2 linked regions of the Anolis sagrei genome follow. The protein of the gene in region 2 purifies or fractionates together with the protein of the main gene of each other region. This does not show direct contact. Links are inferred from orthologs where the notes say so. Each region holds a gene or a part of one and is shown on either strand. Other genes may lie near its edges.

Region 1 (9,991 bases), on a different chromosome or scaffold from region 2:
AGTGTGCATAGGAATTCATTTGTATTTTTTTAAATTATAATCTGGCCCGCCAACAGTTTAAGGGACTGTGACCTGGCCCTCTGTTTAAAAAGTTTGTGGACCCCTGCCTTACACCATTCAGATTGTGAGGGAAAACTTCATAATGCAAAATAATAACAACATTCAATATTCCTTTTACAGTTTATAAGACATTCCGCTACTTTAAATGGGTGACACATTGAAAGTCTCTACAATAACACAAAAATGTGTAAAGGTATCTTATTTTTAAAAGATTTCCAAATAAAACACATCCCTACCTGCCAGTCATGGTATTGCTTGAAGTCCTGTCCCCAGCAGGCCTGAAGGAAGGAATCACAAGGAAGGTTAAATTGGCATGTGCAGTGCTCAGAATCAGTTTAAAGAACTAGACTCCTTCTACTGTCATGGCTCAATTTACTTATTTACCACATTTGTATACCGCCTTTCTCAGCCAGACGCGACACAAAGCGGTTCAGTCGAAAGTGATTCAATGCCATAACAAATATCAAAATACAATTAATACAAATATAAAAACAATTCAACATTTAAAATGTAATATAAGAAGCAAATATATCTGTAAAAACAAGATCCCCAGCATCTCCTTACTAAAATCATTGTCCAGTTGCATCGTCAGTCATTCCATATATTCATTTACGTCTAGTTATGCTCTAGTAGAAAAAGCTTGCTTGAAGATCCAGGTCTTAACCATTTTGCGGAATGTTAGAATGGAGGGGCCACCACTGAGATGGCCCTGTCTCTCATCCCCAATATGATATATTGTATGTATATGTATCTTGTAAGCTACTCTGAGTCCCCTTCGGGGTGAGAAGGGCAGCATATAAATGTTGCAAATAAATAAATAAAAAAATAAATGATGAAGGACATGTTTTTGTATCTTCTCTTTTTGCCATTCAGTGGCAATTTGCAACTGAAGTAAGTTGAGGACAAAGGAGGAGAGAAGAACTAGAATGTTTTAGCAACAGCAAACAAAGCGGGATGATAAAGGATTAATTGGGACTATTTAAGGGTGCATTTATAATATAGAATTAATGCAGTTTGAAATCCCTTTAACTGGCTCAATGTTATGGAATCCTGGGAGTTGTAGTTTTGTTAGGAAGCAGTCTTCCTTGGCAGACCTTGTAAAACGACAACTCTGAGGATTCCATAGCATTGAGCCAGGGAAGTGAAAGTGGCATCAAATCACATTAATTCTACAGTGAAGATGCAGCCAGCAGTGAATTTCTTGTTTAGACTTCGGTTCCATTTCTATTATGGCAGAATTTAAAAACAAAATTAAAGATTCTTCTCTTCAGGCAGGCCTACCCAATCAAACCTGAATCACAAGTTTTTAATTTGCATTGCATTGTCACTATATGTTGATTTCTATACCCCATGTATGTTCTTAATTATAGTGTTTTTATCTGTGTATTTTATGTTAGTTTTTCATCGACTTAAATCAAGAAATAGTTTTCTAAGATCTACAGAGACACTTGCTGGAACACCTCAGCAAGCGAGAGTCCAAAAGTGGCAGGCTCAAACCCAGAACCTCAACCAATGGCTGATACCAAATGAGAGAGTCCCTCCTGGGCACACAGAAGACTGGGTGACTTGGAAGGCACTGAACAGACTGCGCTCCACAAGATGCAAAGTCAACCTTAAGAAATGGAGCTACAAAGTGGAATCCACAACATGCGAGTGTGGTGAAGAGCAAACCACTGTCCACCTGCTGCAATGCAACCTGAGCCCTGCCACATGCACAATGGAGGACCTTCTTGTGGCAACACCAGAGGCACTCCAAGTGGTCAGATACTGGTTCAAAGGACATTTAATCAACTACCAAGCTTGCAAACTTTGAGTTTTGTTTGTTTGTTAAAAAATGCAATGCAACTGTTTGGTCTGCCTCTGACACGATAAATAAATAAATATGTTAGTTTGTCTTGATTTTATTCAGGAATGGGCAAACTTCAGTCCTCCAGGTGTTTTCGACTTCACCTCCATTAGGCTTTTAGGAATTGTGGGAGTTGAGGACCAATAATAATAATAATAATAATAATTCCTTATTTCTAGACTGCCCTCTCTCCCCGGAAAGACTCAGGGCGGTTTACAAAATATATGGAGGGAGGGCCGAAGTTTGCCTACGCCCATTCTATGTTGTATCCTGCCTCGAGCCAAGGCAGAGAGTATAAATAAAGTGTACTATTGTGTTGTTGAAGGCTTTCATGCCCAGAATCAATGGATTGCTGTGAGTTTTTTGGACTGTGTGGCCATGTTCCAGTTGATTTCTCTCCTGCTTCTGTGGCTGGCATCTTCAGAGGTTCTGTTGGCAATGAAGCAAGTCTATCTATCTGCAGAATGTCCATGGCGGGAGGAAGAACACTTGTCTGTGAATGTTGCAATTAGTAAGAATTGAGTAGCCTTTCACCTGCAGTATCAATCTGTGAAGTTATCTGCTTAGAGGTGGTTAACAGTATTAAAAAAAAACACCAGAATTAGGATAGTAAATAAGGAACACCACTCAGAAACAGAACTCCAGATAGCAAACAATCAAGAGCCAATTAACACCCCCCAGAGGATGTCTCCAGGCAACAAAGAGCAGGCTCCCTCTATGCCAGTGGTTCCTAGCCTTTGGGCCTCCAGGAATTTTGAACTTTAGCTCCCACAGTTCCTAACAGCTGGTCCAAAACACCTGGAGCCCAAAGGTTGGGAACCACTGCTCTATGCAGATACCTTACCATTGACTTTACAGCTTAGTGGCTACTCAATGCTATTCAAGCTTGCTAATTGCAACATTCACATTTGTGTTAAGCAAACAAGGGTTCTTTCTTCCACCTTGGACATTTATCCCACAGGTTTATATATATATATACTAGCCGTCCCCTGCCGCGCGTTGCTGTGGTCCAGTCTCTGTATTTGTGTTTTGTGTGTGTATATATTTTTATTTTTGTGTATATATGTGGTTTTGCGCATGTGTTCTAATGTTTTGGTTTGGTTTTTTTGCTTTTTATGTCTTTTTTGCTGTGTTTTTCAGTATTTTCATGAGTGATGGTTACTTCTTGGCCTGATACGTGTATTGTGTCCAATTTGGTGTCAATTTACCCAGTGGTTTTTGAGTGATGTTAATCCCACAAATGAACATTACATTTTTATTTATATAGATGGATATATATTGTAAATAAGTAATTATATTTATTATAGTAGCATCACTATTTCAATATTATTATATTGTATTATGATTAGCACTATATTGCATTACATTATAATATTATTATCAATATTACATGTATATACAATATACTAAATTAGCATAACACACTATTAGTATTATATATTTCTATATTGTAGCATAGCACTATACTGCAATCTATATAAATAAAAATGCAATGTTCGTTTGTGGGATTAACAGAACTCAAAAACCACTGGGGGAATTGCAACCAAATTTGGCCACAAGACACCTACTAACCCAAGGAGTGACCATCACTAAAAAAAAATGAGTTTGTCATTTGGGAGTTGTAGTTGCTGGGATGTATAGTTCACCTACAAACAAAGAGCATTCATAACCCCACCAACGATGGAATTGAACCAAACTTGGCACACATTTCTCCCATGACCAACAGAAAATACTGGAAGGGTTTGGTGGGCAGTGTCCTTTGGTTTTGGAGTTGTAGTTCACCTACATCCAGAGATCACTGTGGACTCAAACAATGATGGATCTGGACCAAACTCTACACGAACACTCAATATGCCCAAATGTGAACACTGGTGGAGTTTGGGGGAAATAGAATCTTGACATCTGGGAGTTGTAGTTGCTGGGATTTATAGTTCACCTACAATCACAGAGCATTCTGAACGCCACTGATAGAATTGGGCCAAACCTCCCATACAGAACCCTCATGTGGGCCACTGCAACGCTTGGCAGGTGACGACTAGTGTGTGTGTGTGTGTGTATATATATATATATATATATATATATATATATATATATACACACACACACATATGTGATATATATATATATATATATATATATATATATATATAAGTAAAGCACAATATTATATATTACTAGCTGTTCCCTGCCACGCATTGCTGTGGCCCAGTCTGTTGATCTGGAAAATAAAGTAATGAGAAAGTGTTGGTTTCTAATATATGTAATTTCTTTATGCTTGTGGATAAACAGTATTTCTTGTTGTTTCTTTGTCAGTGTTGATGTGTCTTTTGTCCCACCCTGGTCATTCCACAGATATATAAACCCCTTTTCCTACTTCCAACAGACCACACTATCTCTGAGGATGCTTGCCATAGATGCAGGCGAAACGTCAGGAGAGAATGCCTCTAGGACATGGCCACATAGCCCGAAAAAAACCACAAGAACCTAGTGATTCCAGCCATGAAAGCCTTCGACAATACAGGCCTTCCTTCCTTCCCTTCGTCCCATGGAATCAGCCAGCTAAGGCGTAGAAACGAAACTAGGCCAGGCCGCAGCATCCGGCCTCCATCCACGGCATCCCACCGCCTTCCGCCGCCATCCCCGGCTCCTTCCACTCCTCAGACCTCGCTTCACCCGCCGACCCCACTCGGGAGCCGCTTTCCCCGCGGTTTCCACGGATTCCTCCCCACGAAACGCGCGCCCCCCTTCCTCACCTCAGCAGCACCGGCCCAAGATGGCGGCAGAAAGAGAGAGCGGCGCCGCGGTGCAAGCCGGGATAGGGGGACAAAATCGCCAGGACCCCTTCCTTGTTTAGAGATAGGTGGTTACGCTATTCGCCTGACTGAAATATCACAACATTTTGGGGGGTATTTTAAAAAGTGGAATTTAAAACTTCGATTTGGGTGTTTGATTTCCAATATCGAGCTTTTATTTCATCCTCTGTAATTTAACGATTTTTAAAAAATGTCAGGCTTTTATATAGACAGCCTTTTGCTAATGTGAGGGCCCCACAGGAAGTGAGTGGTAACCATGGCGACGTCAAGCTGTGCAAGTGATACCTCTTGGTGAGTGAGTCCCTTCAGAACGGTTCTATTGAGTTGAGAGGGTTTTTCACACAGGAAAAGCATTCAGGAAACATTTGGGAGAAAGCAGCAGAAATTCCAAACACAAAAAGAGGGAATGCAGTGAATATTAAGATGGAAACTATCCCAAGAGAGGAGGCCTCAAGGCCTTCACTAAAGTTAGGCCTCAGGAAAAGGGAAGAACAAATTATCCATCTATCTATCTATCTATCTTTACTTACTTAGGCAATCCCTCATTGTCCAAGTAGGATTGTCTTCTCTCTTTCACCTTCCATTTGTGCCTCTTCAAATTCTGCAGCACTGCTGGTCACAGCTGACCTCCAGCTGGAGCGCTCAAGGGCCAGGACTTCCCAGTTCTCAGTGTCTATGCCTGTGCAGGTACAGCTGTACCAGGAGCTCCAATTTTGTTTGCTTTGCATTGAATGTTTGTAGTCCTAAGTTTCAGGGACTCTGCAGATAGGTGGCTTCTTTTGGCTGCAATCATAGGGCAAGCCACCAGTCAATTATAGTTAGGTTCCCTGGTCCCGCCCCCTTTGGGTTTTTGGAGGGAATAGGAGCCAGTTTGGGTACAGTCCACACAGAGAAGGTTTTCGCACAGGACATAATACCAAGAGCTCCTGTAGAAAGCTTTGTCCATTTTTCAATCTCTTTTCATGTCTTCCAACATTCAATTTTCCGTTCTTGAGTTCGGAGTAGAGTAACTGCTTTGGAGACGGTGGTCGGGCATAATAATAATAATAATACTTTATTTATTTGTTTATTTTAAAATAAATAAAAATAAACGAAACAGAGTGGCAACAATTATGGAGACAAAGACATTAAAAAAATTATCAATACGTGTTAAAGAAAATTATTATAAGTTAATATGGAAGTGGTATCTGACACCAGTAAGATTAGCATATATAAATAAAAATAATTCAAAAAATTGTTGGAGAGGATGTCAAGAACCAGGAATATATATACATATGTGGTGGCAATGTAAATATGTAAATAATTTTTGGGGGAAAGTATTTAGAGAAATAGAAGATATAATGAACATTAAAATTGAGAAAAGCCCTAGTATAGCTTTATTATATAACAATACACAATGGAAAAAGGAGGATAAAGAAACGATAACAAACTTATTAACTATAGCAAGACTGCTCATAGCAAGGAATTGGAAAAAAGAAATGAATATACAAATAGAGGAGTGGTATAAGGAAGCATGGAAAATAGCAATAAATGATAAATTGACATGTATATTAAAAGTTCAAAAAGGTATATGGAAACAAAGTGATTTTGATGTTGTATGGGGAAAATTTGTAGTAAATGGTTTAAAAAACAAAGAAGGAAAGTTACCGTCACAAGAAGAATTGAAATTTTGGACAGACGATATGTAAAAGTTGTGGCTTGATATGGGGGGAGGGGAGCACAGTGGTGGGAAACAAAGGGGGAAAATGCTTAAGTAGAATAATAAGATTATATGTTAAAGAGTGTGTTGAATAATATGTAACTGCTATAACCAAACGCATAACAAATGTAATAACTATGATAAAAAAAAGAAAACCAAATTCTGCAGTACTGCTGGTCACAGCTGACCTTCAGCTGGAGCGCTCAAGGGCCAGGACTTCCCAGTTCTCAGTGTCTATGCCAGAGTTTTTGAGGTTGGCTTTGAGCCAATCTTTAAATCTCTTTTCCTGTCTTCCAACATTCAATTTTCCGTTCTTGAGTCCGGAGTAGAGCAACTGCTTTGGCAGACAGTGGTCGGGCATAATAATAATAATAATAATAATAATACTTTATTTATACCCCGCTACCATCTCCCCAAGGGACTCGGTGCAGCTTACATGAGGCCAAGCCCAACAGTACATCAATAAACAAAAGCAATAACAAAAACAATCAATACAATACAATTAATATAAATCACATAAACAATAAACAGTAACACACAAGAATTTAAAAACCTATGGCCGGGCCAAATGTAATAGTTTAAAATTTAAAAAAATAACGCTGAGCATGAATAAGGTAGGATATAACTGGTATAGGGTTTTCAAAGAGAGATGAGGGAACGCAGTCAGTCCTAAATCAGTGGTAAAGTGCATTTTGAGGGCATATTGCTGAGAGTTTTCCTTATTCTGGGAAGGCACACTGGAACAACCACATTTTGGGGCCCCTCCTAAAGACTGCCAATGTGGGGGCTTGTCTGATATCTTTAGGTAGAGAGTTCTAGAGTCGGGGGGCCACCATAGAGAAGGCCTTCTCCCTCGTCCCTGCCAATCGTGCCTGCGAAGGAGGTGGGAGCGCGAGTAGGGCTTCTCTAGATGATCGAAGAGATAATGTGGGTTCGTACACAGAAATGCGGTCATGCAGGTAGGCGGGTCTCAAACCGTTTAGGGCTTTGTAGGTAAGAACCTACAACGTGACCGGTCCAGCGGAGTTGATGGCAGAGGAACATCGCTTCAATGCTGGTGGTCTTTGCTTCTTCCAGAACACTGACGTTTGTCCGCTTGTCTTCCCAAGAGATTTGCAGGATTTTCTGAAGGCAGCGCTGATGGAATCGTTCCAGGAGTTGCATGTGACGTCTGTAGACAGTCCACGTTTCGCAGGCATATAGCAGGGTTGGGAGGACAATAGCTTTATAAACAAGCACCTTGGTCTCCCTATGGATGTCCCGGTCCTCAAACACTCTCTGCTTCATTTGGAAAAAAGCTGCACTCGCAGAGCTCAGGCAGTATTGTATTTCAGTGTCAATGCTGACTTTTGTGGAGAGGTGACTGCCAAAGTAGCGGAAATGGTCAACATTTTCTAATGTTACACTATTAAGCTGTATTTCTGGCATTGGAGAGGGGTTGGCTGCTGACTGCTGGAAGAGCACTTTGGTTTTCTTGATGTTCAATGACAGGCTGAGCTTCTCATATGCTTCTGTGAAGGTGTATAGAGTGGCTTGTAGGTCTTCTTCTGAATACGCACAATGTTGTAACCCACCTCGAGCCATGAGGAGAGGCAAATAAGAAAAAATTACTATTATTATACGCTAGAATATTATATATGTACCAAAGAACACAGACCAACTAAAGCCTATAGGTAATAAAGCATAGCTTCATTTCCTATAGTATAGTAAGGTCAGCTGCATAGTAAACACTAGTTTAAACCTAAAATTGGAAGCCCATGATAAACAAAGGAACCATAAACACTTTACAGTCCATTCTATGCTTGTGGACAGAATGGCTGGCTATATACAGCCCTGGTGAGGCTGGGTTGTTGTAGGTTTTTCCGGGCTATATGGCCATGTTCTAGAGGCATTTTCTCCTGTCGTTTCGCCTGCATCTATGACAAGCATCCTCAGAGGTAGTGAGGTCTGTTGGAAGTAGGAAAATGGGTTTATATATCTGTGGACTGACCAGGGTGGGACAGGGTGGCCAACAAAAGTCCTTTGTCCCCCCCTGGTCATTCCACAGATATATAAACCCATTTTCCTACTTCCAACAGACCTCACTACCTCTGAGGATGCTTGCCATAGATGCAGGCAAAACGTCAGGAGAAAATGCCTCTAGACCATGGCCATATAGCCCGGAAAAACCTACAACAACCCAGTTATTCCAGCCATGAAAGCCTTTGACAATACCTGGTGAGGCTATTTGAGAATGAGTTATTAACAATGAACATTTTGCATGTCTTCTGGTTCTGGGAGCCTCAGAGACAGTACATAAATCTATATGGTGACATACATATTTCTAAAATTAAAACTAGAATGTACACATTGGTTGGCTGGCAGCAATGGAGAGAAAGAAAGAAAGCCCAGTCATGGAGAGGAAGGAGTGAGGAGAGCATGAAGTGAGGCCACTTTCATCCCAAATATCTCTCAGTGATCTTTTAACATGACAACCTATATAAAATATATAAAAATGTAATCTTCTTTTGCATATGAATGTAGTAAGAAATTTTTCATAGGTAAGTCAATATTTTTGTATGACTTTTTTTCAAAAAAGATTATCAACATCAGGTGACAGGATATTATTCTTGCATCTTCTAACCCAGGCATGGGCAAACTTCGGCCCTCCAGGTGTTTTGGACTTCAACTCCCACAATTCCTGGAGTTATGAGAGTTGAACTCCAAAACACCCGGAGGGCTGAAGTTTGCCTATGCGTGTTCTAACCAAAGTCATGCCATGAAGTGAGATACTTAAGTTATCCTGAATTCATTGCAGATTACTCAAATCAATTTGTTCTTTTATTTTTGTCTTTCATGGATGCCATGTTATTTGGAAGCTTGTTTAGATCAAGTGAATGGCCTTTTAGGCTTTCCCCATGTGAAGAGGAATGAGTTCTCTTTTGGAATAATAAAAATTATATGTCTTGGTGGGGAGAATCGGGATTTTAGAGAACTTCAGGTAGATCTGGGCCAAAACAAAGAGAATCTCATTTAGGAAACACACATTGTAACATCCATAGTGTGGTGAGGTACCGGGTAATATTAAAGACCTTGCAAAACTACAGTGCCCAGGACTTCCAGCATTCAGCCATGGCAGTTCAAGTGGTGTCAAACTGCACCCATTCTGCAGTGCAGATTCACCCTCAGAGGCCCTTGAGGTGTGAATGCCCTTTGGGGAGATAGGGTGATATATAAATAACATTTTATTATTATAATTATTTTATTATTATTATGCACCAGATGATCTCAGTGAGTCCTTTCCAGCTCTACTGTGAATGAACTAACCCTTCCAAGAGACATACCTAGGATTTCTGGGATGCAAATCAAACAGGCTGTTTTCTTTCAATTGTCAGACACTGAATTCACCAGAAGGAGGCACTGCAGGATGCATCTGGGAATCTTCTTTCAGAAGCTCAGAGCAAAAGGCAAAGACCAGTGGACTCTTCAGAATTCTCCTCCAGAACCACATCTTAAATGGGTTTCTTTGGTTCCTATCAGTGTTCTTCCCTGCCCAGCTTTTACAGCCATACATAGAAGTGGGAATACAGTGAC
Region 2 (10,437 bases):
AAAGCAGTGGTTCTCAACCTGTGGTCCGTGGACCACCAGTGGTCCACAAGAACTAACATGTGGTCTGCAGCCTCACCGTTACTACACCATTGCAATGAGAGCAACTGTTCTCACAAAACCTGAGGCTTATTAAATATAGTTTTCTGTGGGCAAGCAGATGGTGACTATTGGATGGTGTCTGTTCTGCATCAGAAACTAGAGCTGATGTGGTCTATCCAATGCAATTTTCTGAATCAGCACCCCAAATAACCAAACCGAATCGAAAGTTGACCAAAAATGATTTGTAACCCTTTTCCCTGGTCAAGTGGTCCCTGGTCAAAAAAAGCTTGGGAACCATTCATTTAGCCAATACTCAACCTAGCTTCACAAGAAAGAAGCAAGTGACAGATGGAAGAGGTCTGTGGATCCACAAAACTGATTCAGACCTCGCCAATCCAGCTATTTCACAGTAATTCCTTCTCCAGCAGGAGAACAACTTGAGCAAATATCTGCTACAAAAATTTAGGTTTAGTTGGTGATGTCAGAGCTTAAGCGAGGGCATTTCTGCATGCATAATATTTGCTTATCACTGTGGTTGCCACAATACAATGTCCAATCATTATCCTCTCTTATGGCCCAGGTGAAAACAGGATTTAAATGGACATTAAATGTTGGTCTCCTCTTCCATTCAAAAGAGAAAGAAAGGAAATGAAGACACCACTGGTGACACTTCTCTCACCAGAAAGTGATACATTCAATCTCAAAGGGTACAACATTTCAAGCAGAATGAAATGTGTAAAAATGTGGATCTGGGAGAGATTTTGCAAGCCAAGTTCCTGTGATCTTGCATCAGACTAGCCATAGCTCTGATGTTTTGCATCAGCCATAAAATACCTTTCGCATCAGTCCAGAGACAAAAGCCCTGAGCCGTGAAGGAAGGAAGACTGCAGCAGCCCCAAATCATTTAAGGAACAGCCAGAAGCCTTCCACCCACATTTTTTTGTTTAACTTTGAAACATCAACTGCCAAATAAATACAGAAAGCATGACAGACACACTCACTGCCAACTGAGGAAGATATGTTTACTGACATAATAAACTTATGGGAAGACAGGCATGATGAAATGGGTATTTAGCAAGGCAGTACAAATATGCCCTTTAATTCCGTCACAGAAGTCACCACATTAAGGCTTTTTCAACACTGCCATATAAAATCCAGATTATCTGCCTTGAACTGGATTATATGACAGTGTAGACTCATATAATCCAGTTCAAAGCAGATAATGTGGATTATCTGCTTTAATAATTTGGATTATATGGCAGCGTAAAAGGAGCCTAGAGATCACCTGCAAAATGTGGGGTGGGGTGGGGAGTGTCATCTTGAGATACAAGTGAATTATAATACCCATCATCCCTATTCAATGGCCATGTTGGTTGTAGCTGATGAAAGATTGGAATCTAAACATTTTGGGATTACTCTTGTTTATTTATTTATTTATTTACTATATTTATATACCATCCCTCTCAGCCCACAGGCAACTCGGGGAGGTTTACAGTTGGTACCAAGACCATAAAATACAATTTCAATCCAATAAAAACAATTGGATAATAAAACCATAATAAAATTAATAAAAACACAAACATTAGGGTCGCCCGTTAAAAACATTGTCCAATCACATTGTCCAACCATTCCATTTCCCTATGTCTATTACACTGTATTTGCAAATGCCTGCTCAAAACGCCAAGTCTTGACTTTCTTCTGAAATGTTAAAAGGAAGGGGGCCGATCAGATATCCTTAGGGAGGGTGCTCCATAGCTGAGGGGCCACCACTGAGAAGGCCCTGTCTTTCGTCCCCACCAGCCATACTTGTGATGAAGTTGGGGCTGAGAGCAGGGCCTCCCCAGATGATCTTAAAGTCCTGGAAGGTTCATAAGGAGAAACACGTGGTTCCCCACAACTGCTTCAAACTTCATTATAGACACTGCTAGCAAAATCGTTATTTTAATTTTCCTTACAGTTTCTGATTCCCTTCCCAAAGATATTCTTCTGCTATGAATTAGGTTCCTAGGCAAAATAAAAATCCAGCTTGGGAGAAACGTACCTGCAGGATGGCATCAGGATCCCAGACACTGGGGACCCCACTAAGGAAAGCTGAAAAGGTGGGATTCCACAGCATGCAGTCCTGGGGAGAAAAAAAACCAAATCAGGAGGATGATCAAAAACTGAAGAAAAAAACATGCAGTACCTGCATACACCAAACACACACACAGTAGAGTCTTGCTTATCCACCCTTCACTTATCCAACATTGTGTATTATCCAACGCAGTCTGCTTCCAGCCCGAATCCACAGCTGTTTCAATACATTGTAATGTTATGGTGCTAAATTCATAAATACAGTAATTACTACATAACGTTACTGTGTATTGAATTGCTTTTTCTATTGCTTTGTTGTAAAACATGATGTTTTGGTGCTTAATTTGTAAAATCATAATGTAATTTGACTTTTAATAGGCTTTTCCTTAATCCCTCCTTATTATCCAATATCCAACATTCTCCCAGCCCGTTTACGTTGGGTGTGTGTGTGTGTGCGTGCGTGCGTGTGTGTGTGTATATATATATATATAATATGTCATTATCTTTAAGGCCCCTTCTGCATTGCCTTACAAAATCCAGATTATCTGCTTTGAACTGGATTATATGACAATATAGACCAGGCACTGGCAAACTTTGGCCCTCTGGGTGTTTTGGACTTCGACTCCCACAATTCCTAACAGCCTACTGGCTGTTAGGAATTGTGGGAGTCAAAGTCCAAAACACCCAGAGGGCCAGAGTTTGCCTGTGCCTGCTGTAGACCCATATAATCTAGTTCAATTTTGATTATCTAAATTATATGGTAGTGTAGAAGGGGCCATAACTATATATACAATTGTCATTTTGCTTTCTGTGTTTCTGGGATTATTCTATTATCTAGAACAACAAATGGAAATAAGTAAATAAGTATTGCACATATGCCCCAAGAATATAACAACATATTGAATTGTGTATATGTTTGTGTGTAGATTTGAGAGACTGCAAGTCACTTCTGGTGTGGGAGAATTGGCCGTCTGCAAGGATGTTGGCCAGGGGATGCCCAGATGTTTTGATGTTTTACCATCCTAGTGGGAGCCTTCACTCATGTCCCCATATAGAGAGCTGGAGCTGACAGAGGGAGCTCATCCATGTTCTCCCCATATTCGAACCTCCAACCTGTCGATCTTCAGTCCTGCCGGCACAAGGGTTTAACCCGTTGCACCACCGGGGGCGCCTATCGATCTGTTCTTGATCATATTAACAATTACCATAATGACCATAACGCTGTCTTTGTATTTCCTTTCGAAACAATTTATGTTTCAATACATTATAATATTTCCCACCATTACAAAACCTCTAGACGTTGCTGTATCTTTCCACATCCAAAGACTATTACATCCCCTTCCATACAGCTGAATAAAATCTCCCACTTTCTGCTTTGAACTGGAATATAATGCACTGTGGACTCAGATAATCCAGTTCAAAGCAGATATTGTGGGATTTTCTGCCTTGATATATATCTTCCCGCAGGAGTGGTACCTATTTATCTACTCACATTTGCATGTGTTTGAACTGCTAGGTTGTCAGAAGCTGGGGCTAACAGCAGGAGCTCAGCCCACTCCCTGGATCTGAACTGCCGACCTCTCAGTCAGCAAGTTCAGCAGCTCAGCAGTTTAATCCACTGCACCACGGGGGGCTCCAATCAATAGGGTTTCGTCCAATAGGATTATAATCCCATGTCAGATTTTCAATTAATGATTTGTTGATTTCCTATCCAAGATTTCATTCAGAACATCAACTTAGGTACTAACAAATGTGCCGGTAACTTTGAATTTCTTTTTTACAGTTTCTTTGTTGCCTAAAGTATCTTTGGTGTAAATATATACCTCCTGTGAGGGATCTCATCCTATTGGGGGAGCGATCTTGTAAAAGTTGACTCAAGGGTTAAGTCCATTGGCCCCAATGACACTTATTTCCAGGAATGTGGAAATACAAACCGAGCCTGAGGATATCTTTCTTTGTCAAGTGCTGCATTGCTCCCAGATATACAAAATTTAAAAGTTGGCAACTATGTTTTTACACTGACAATAGTTGCTGGAGAAAAACAGGAATATAATATTAATTATTGTGTTAGTTATTAATATCAATAAAAGCAAGAGGCCTAATGCAATAAAACATTGCATCGGGTGCATGCCTGTTGCATTCAAACTGGAAAGGCTCATAGCTAAAAATTTACCTGTTCAGGCGTGAAGGTTCTTCCTTAGTGACCCAGGGAGAAGGAGATGGAAATCCGGCTCAAACGTTTAGTTTTTGTAAACAAGGCCCCATTATTTTCCCTGGCAAATGTCTCCCTGAGCACTAGTTAGTTAATGAACACACAGGAATGGTATCAGGAAGGGAAAAGCGCAACCTGAGGGAGAAACAGGTAACCAGGGGAGGGACAACCTGTTCTCCCCGCCCCGTTCACCTTCGGCAGGGCTCTCTCTAGGTGGATCTGTGCTCAGTTTGGAACTGAAATGCACCCATCAGAACAAAACACACAATTGCTGTGCATTTAACTGGCCCTGCGGACCCTCTGCAGCACCCAGTTTAGCAGCCCAATGGTGACTAAAGCTGCCACTTCTTCAGAGACACAGATCCTTGACTGCCATCATAAGGACCCAGCTTACTTACTTACTTAGGCGATCCCTCGTTGTCAGAGTAGGATAATCCTCCAGGGTGGGTCCGTAGATCAGTGTACTGATGGGTCCGGAGGTGGCTATAGAGCCCTATTCTTGATCTGCATCTTCTCCCGCAGTGAAGGCATTGGTTTCCAGGTGGAAAGCGATCTCGGTTGGGGTTGGCTTGATGCGCCATCCTCTTGGTACGTTTCTCTTTCGTGCCTCTTCAAATTCTACAGCACTGTTGGTCACAGCTGACCTCCAGCTGGAGACCCTGCACTTCACATGTGAACAATTTTAAGGCCTAAACCAGGCATGGGCAAATGTCAGCCCTCCAGGTGTTTTGGACTTCAACTCCCACAATTCCTAACAGCCTATGCCTGTCCTAAACTCTTCATGCTCTGTATAAATATGGCATTGATTATTGATCCAAATTAATATTTTCTCTAAAAAGGTAAATACACCCATGAGATTCCAGTTCTATTGTAAGAGAGCTATACTTTTGTTGCTTGCATGAGTCAATGATATTATTTATACACTCACCACTTTGAATCTTTATCATTCCTAAACACACTTTAGGAATGATAAAGAGGAAACGGCCCCGGCCCAGTTTACCTGTCCCTTTACGAACCACCTCGGAAACCAAGATCATCAGGGGAGGCCCTGCTCTCGGTCCCACTACCATCACATGTGCGTTTGATGGGAACGAGAGACAGGGCCTTCTCAGTGATTGCCCTCCAGTTATGGAACTCCCTTCCTGGCAATATTAGATCAGCCCCTTCCCTCCTGTCCTTCAGAAGGATGGTGAAGACCTGGCTGTGGGACCAAGCCTTTAGGGCCGTGCAATGAGGCAAAATGGTGTCCTGAGATGGTTTTTAAGCAACTTTCAATGTGGATATAAGTGATTTTAATGTTTGTATATATTTATGGTTATATGTCCCGGCATTGAATGTTTGCCGTAAATATGTAGTGCTCCGCCCTGTGTCCCCTGCAGGGTGAGAAGGGGGGGGGGGATATAAATGTTTTAAATAAAAATAAAATAAATTCTGTCCTGACATTTCTGCCACATCTATGGCAGGCATCCTCAGAGGGTGAGAGGTCTGTTGGAAACAAAGCAAGTGAGGTTTATATATCTGTGGAATGTCCAGGGTGGGAGAAAAAAAGTCTTATTGCTATTGGCCACCTTGATTGGCATTGAATGGCAGTGCAGCTTCAAAGACTGGCTGCTTCCTGCTTGGGGGAATCCTTTGTTTGTAGATGTTAGCTGGCTTTGATTGTTTCATGTGTTTTGTGTGTTGCTCTTTATTTACAGTCTTGATTTTAGTTTTTTTAAATACTGGTAGCCAGATTTTGTTCATTTTTATGGTTTCCTCCTTGATGTTGAAGTTGTCCACAGCCTCTGAGGATGCCTGCCATAGATGTAGGCGAAACGGCAGGAGAGAATGCTTCTTGAATATGTCCATACATGTTCTCCTCAGAACATGTTGCTGACATGTACTCCTCAGAAGCATCTCTTCAACCAGTGCACTGGACTGGACAGGACTTTGGTCTGACCCAAAGCGGGCCTCTTTTTTTTACATCTACTCAAAAGGTTCCCATGGCTGCAGTCTGAAGGGTGGTTATAGCCCCAGTAGAAACCACTCAGTCCCCACACCATTTTCTCAATGTAAGTCTCTCCACCAATTATAACTTGGTAACAGAGGAGCCCATGGTGGCGCAGTGGGTTAAAGCACTGAGCTGCTGAATTTGCTAACCGAAAGGTCGCAGTTTCGAATCCAGGGAGCGGTGTGAGCTCCCATTGTTAGCCCCTGCTTCTGCCAACCTAGCAGTTTGAAAACATGCAAATGTAAGTAGATCAATAGGTACCGCTTCTGCAGGAAGGTAACAGTGCTCCATCCAGTCATGCGGACCACATGACTTTGGAGGTTCTATGGACAATGCCAGCTCTTCGGCTTAGAAATTGAGATTAACACCAATCCCCCAGAGTCGGACACGACTGGACTTAATGTCAGGAGAAAACCTTTGTTTATACAAACTGGGAAGATTCAAAATGAAGTATAAGGAGCAGAATTGGGTCCCCCCCCCCCTCCCATGAATGGAAACTATATTAAGGCCCCTTCTGCATGGCCATATAAAATCCAGATTATCTCCCTTAAACTGGATTATATGGCAGTGTAGACTCATATAATCGAGTTCATGTCAATTATCTGCATTGATAATCTGGATTATATGGTGGTATATGTATAAATGTATAAATATATTTGGAGGTATATGTATAAATCTGTAAATGCTGAATTCCTACGTCGCCAGTCGTTTGTAAGCCACTTTGTGTCCCATATTGGAAGAAGGCCAGGTTAATCAACATAGATATTGGTTTAACTATGGGCCATGAGCATTAGACATGATTTAGGAAAAAAATAGTACCTGCTCAGTAATTAATTTATAACAAAGCATGTTGTTTCAGCACGTATCATTAATAGATAAATAACAAGAAAAGGGGCATCCATGTGTTCCTGATTTGCATACTTGCAGACTTTGCATTTTACTGCTTATTAATGACCATAAGACATTTTACTGCCAGTCCTGCTATCTGTCACAAGTAGAGCTCGGCTTCACAGAAACTGGAGACCAAAAGGAGAGACACTATTCCTGGGGAAAGATCCAACCTCCATTACTGGATATCTTAACAGAAGCTGAAAAATATTATTATAGAACATTTGACTGTTCAATCTACAGTGTCAAGAACCTTTATTGCTCTTTCGAATGAAGTCCATCTTTTAGCAATGATGCACCAATTCATTTTTGAGACTCTGCAAAAGCCAACACTTAGCTGTTGGGGAAAAGGCCATTAGGCGGATGTTTATTTTTACCCATAGTCACTGTTGGTCAAACTTTATATGATAACTGAAAATAAGCTTATCCGGGAACAATGTCCATCTAATTGCATACAGATTGTCATCCTAGATAAGTGTTCCTAGAAGTTGAAAAAAAGTTTTCCCTTGATCACTCATTCAAGTATGCGAAGTAGCAATGACACGTTTGTGACCCAGCATTTGCTCTCAGATGCAGCTCAGCTTGTTCTGCAAGGTAAGACTTGCCTCTATTACTGTCATGTCATACTGTGTTTTCACATATTTAGTGGACAGAGATCTATGAGCCTGAGATTCAGGTTTCTAAAGCAATGAAAAGATTGTGATTGAAATACCAAAGCATATCTTCCCCCATGAACCAATGGAGCACCTGTGGTGCAATGGGTTAAACCTTTTTGCCAGCAGGACTGCTGACTGAAAGGTTGGCGATGGGAGCAGGGAGCGGAGCTCCCATGGGAGCGGGGTGAGCTCCCATTTGTCAGCTCCAGCTTCTCATGCAGGGACATGAGAGAAGCCTCCCACAGGATGGTAAAACACCCTGGCGTCTCCTTGGCAATGTCCTTGCAGACAACCAGTTCTCTCAAACAGAAGCAACTTGCAATTTCTCAAGTCACTCCTGACACAGAAAAACAAAACAAAACCATGAACCAATACTAAGACTGCCAATGTGGGTTCGACAACTTTTCTGATTGCCAAGGGCATCTGTCGTCGTCATCATCATCATCATATCTGATATCAATTTCCATCAGAGATTATTCAGGTCTACGAGGAACAATGTTTTGTTTGTATTGTTTTGCTTGCTCTTTGGTGTTGCCTATACTTTAAGGTAAAATTATTTCTCAAGTATAATTAGTGTGTTGTTTCCAAGGAGACGTTGGCAAATATTTTTTGCTGCTTCCACTTTTGTCTGGTAATCAGATTTATAACAGAACGATAGCATTGTAACTATTTTGACGCACCTTTTGGATTCTCCCTTTCAAGTAAGATGGACAGATGCCTAATTTTCAGCTTTCTATAATTATCAGGGTGCCTTGGCTTTTGTGTACAAAACTTCCCAAGTATCCAGTTTCTTGGTATGTGTTTTCATTATTTTTATATTTTCATAAGCGAATCTGGGCCTTAACACACTGACTATCCAGCCTCGAAATAGTATTATGGAAACAAGAGAGTTAGAACACGGGGGATATCTTGTCCAACCCCTTCTGCCATGCCAGAATACACAATCAAAGGACTCCCAGTAGATGGTCATTCAGCCTGTACTTTAAAACCTCCAGAGAAGGAACTCCAGCACACTCCAAGGAAATATATTCCACTGTCAAACAGCTCTTACTGTCGGGATGTTCTTCCTAATTTTTACGTGGGATCGCTTTTCCTGAAGTTTGAATCCATTGCTCCAAATCCAAGTCTTTGGAGCAGCAGAAAACTTGGTTGGTCCATCTTCAGTATACTATCCCTTGATTTTTTTTCTCTCGCATGGCTATCATGTCATCTCTTCCTCAGTCTAAACATACACTGTCCCTAAGCTACTCTTCGTATGACATGGCTTTCAGGTCCTTGATCATTTTGGTTGCCCTGCTCTGGACACATTTTAGCTTATCAATACCTTTCTTGAATTGAACACAGTATCCCAAGTCAAATCTGACCAAAGCAGAATAGAGTGGCACTCATGCATCCTTCAGTCTAGATCAGGCATTGGCAAACTTTGGCCCTCTAGGTGTTTTGGGCTTTTCAATGTAAATCTCTCCACAAACCGGCTGTTAGGAATTGTGGAAATTGAAGTCCAAACACCTGGAGGGTTGAAATTTGCCCATGCCTGATCTAGACACTATACTCCTATTGATGCAGTTTTTAATTGCATTGACTTTTTTTAGCAGCTGAATCACCGTGTTGTCTCATATTTAGCTTGAGGTCTACCGAAACTCCAAAATTCCCTTCACATGTACTGTTTTCAGGCCAGGTGTAACCCATGAGATAGATAAATATTTATTTACTTTGCTTATATACCGCTGTTCTCAGCCCGCATTTATATATGCGCATTTCATTTTTCTACCTAAGTGTATCTTGCATTTCTCCCTGTTGAAATTGATTTGGTTTGTTTTAGTCCATCTCAATGTTCTGTTAAAGTCATTTAAAATTATAATCTTGCCCTGTAATTTGGTGTCATCTGAAATTTTATAAGCATGTTTTCTATTCCATCATCCAGGTCACTGATGAATGTCATTATTTGGGGGGGGGGGGGATTGACTGTTTTAATTATATTGTTCATTGTTAATTTTTTTAATTACTTTGTGAATTCTTGTTGATGCTGGGCTTAGTCCCCATGTAAGCCGCCTCGAGTCCCTTTGGGGAAGATGGTGGCGGGATATAATAGCTATTACTATTATTTGAAACACAACAAGATGAATCCACAGCAAACAAAACCACTCTGCTGGCTGTTGTATTGGATCGCATGTCTGACACTGCCCACATCTCTTCAGGATGAAGAGGAGCCATTGGTCATCTCCCTTTGGCTTTGGCCAGTCACCCAATTCCCAATCCACCCAACAGTAGTATTGTCTATCCCACAACTTACTATCTTGTTTGCAACAATACAGGATATTTCAAGAAGATAGACTGAATGTCAGATTTATATATCTCTGCAACCACAAACCCCACCATGAATGGAACTCAAACAGAGAGTGTGTGATGCGGTAACCTTAGAGCGGTTGTATTTTATGTCATTGGTTGTGGTTTATCACCATGAGGTTGAAAAAGTCTAGCTCAAAGAGGTTCACTGTTATACAAATGTTGGTAGGTATTTACAAAGTTTTTATCACAAGAATTATGCAAGGAAGCATACATTCACAACACTGAAGGAA

What was found.
Region 1: the proteins of PTPN6 (region 2) and RPL35A purify together in Homo sapiens (affinity purification with mass spectrometry; 3 studies listed by BioGRID and IntAct, with this or other methods). This does not show direct contact. The link is inferred for Anolis sagrei from reciprocal best matches to the Homo sapiens genes PTPN6 and RPL35A.

The regions. Positions count from the first base shown.
Region 1 is NC_090023.1:267,625,991-267,635,981, forward strand, and holds the start of RPL35A (large ribosomal subunit protein eL33), read right to left. Parts: upstream 4,749-9,991; 5' UTR 4,660-4,748; intron 339-4,659; 5' UTR 308-338; coding exon 297-307; intron 1-296. Other genes in the region: IQCG (dynein regulatory complex protein 9), read left to right, coding at 4,976-5,010.
Region 2 is NC_090022.1:198,221,574-198,232,010, reverse strand, and holds the start of PTPN6 (tyrosine-protein phosphatase non-receptor type 6), read right to left. Parts: upstream 4,451-10,437; 5' UTR 4,286-4,450; intron 2,162-4,285; 5' UTR 2,095-2,161; coding exon 2,081-2,094; intron 1-2,080. UniProt on the Homo sapiens protein: Tyrosine phosphatase enzyme that plays important roles in controlling immune signaling pathways and fundamental physiological processes such as hematopoiesis.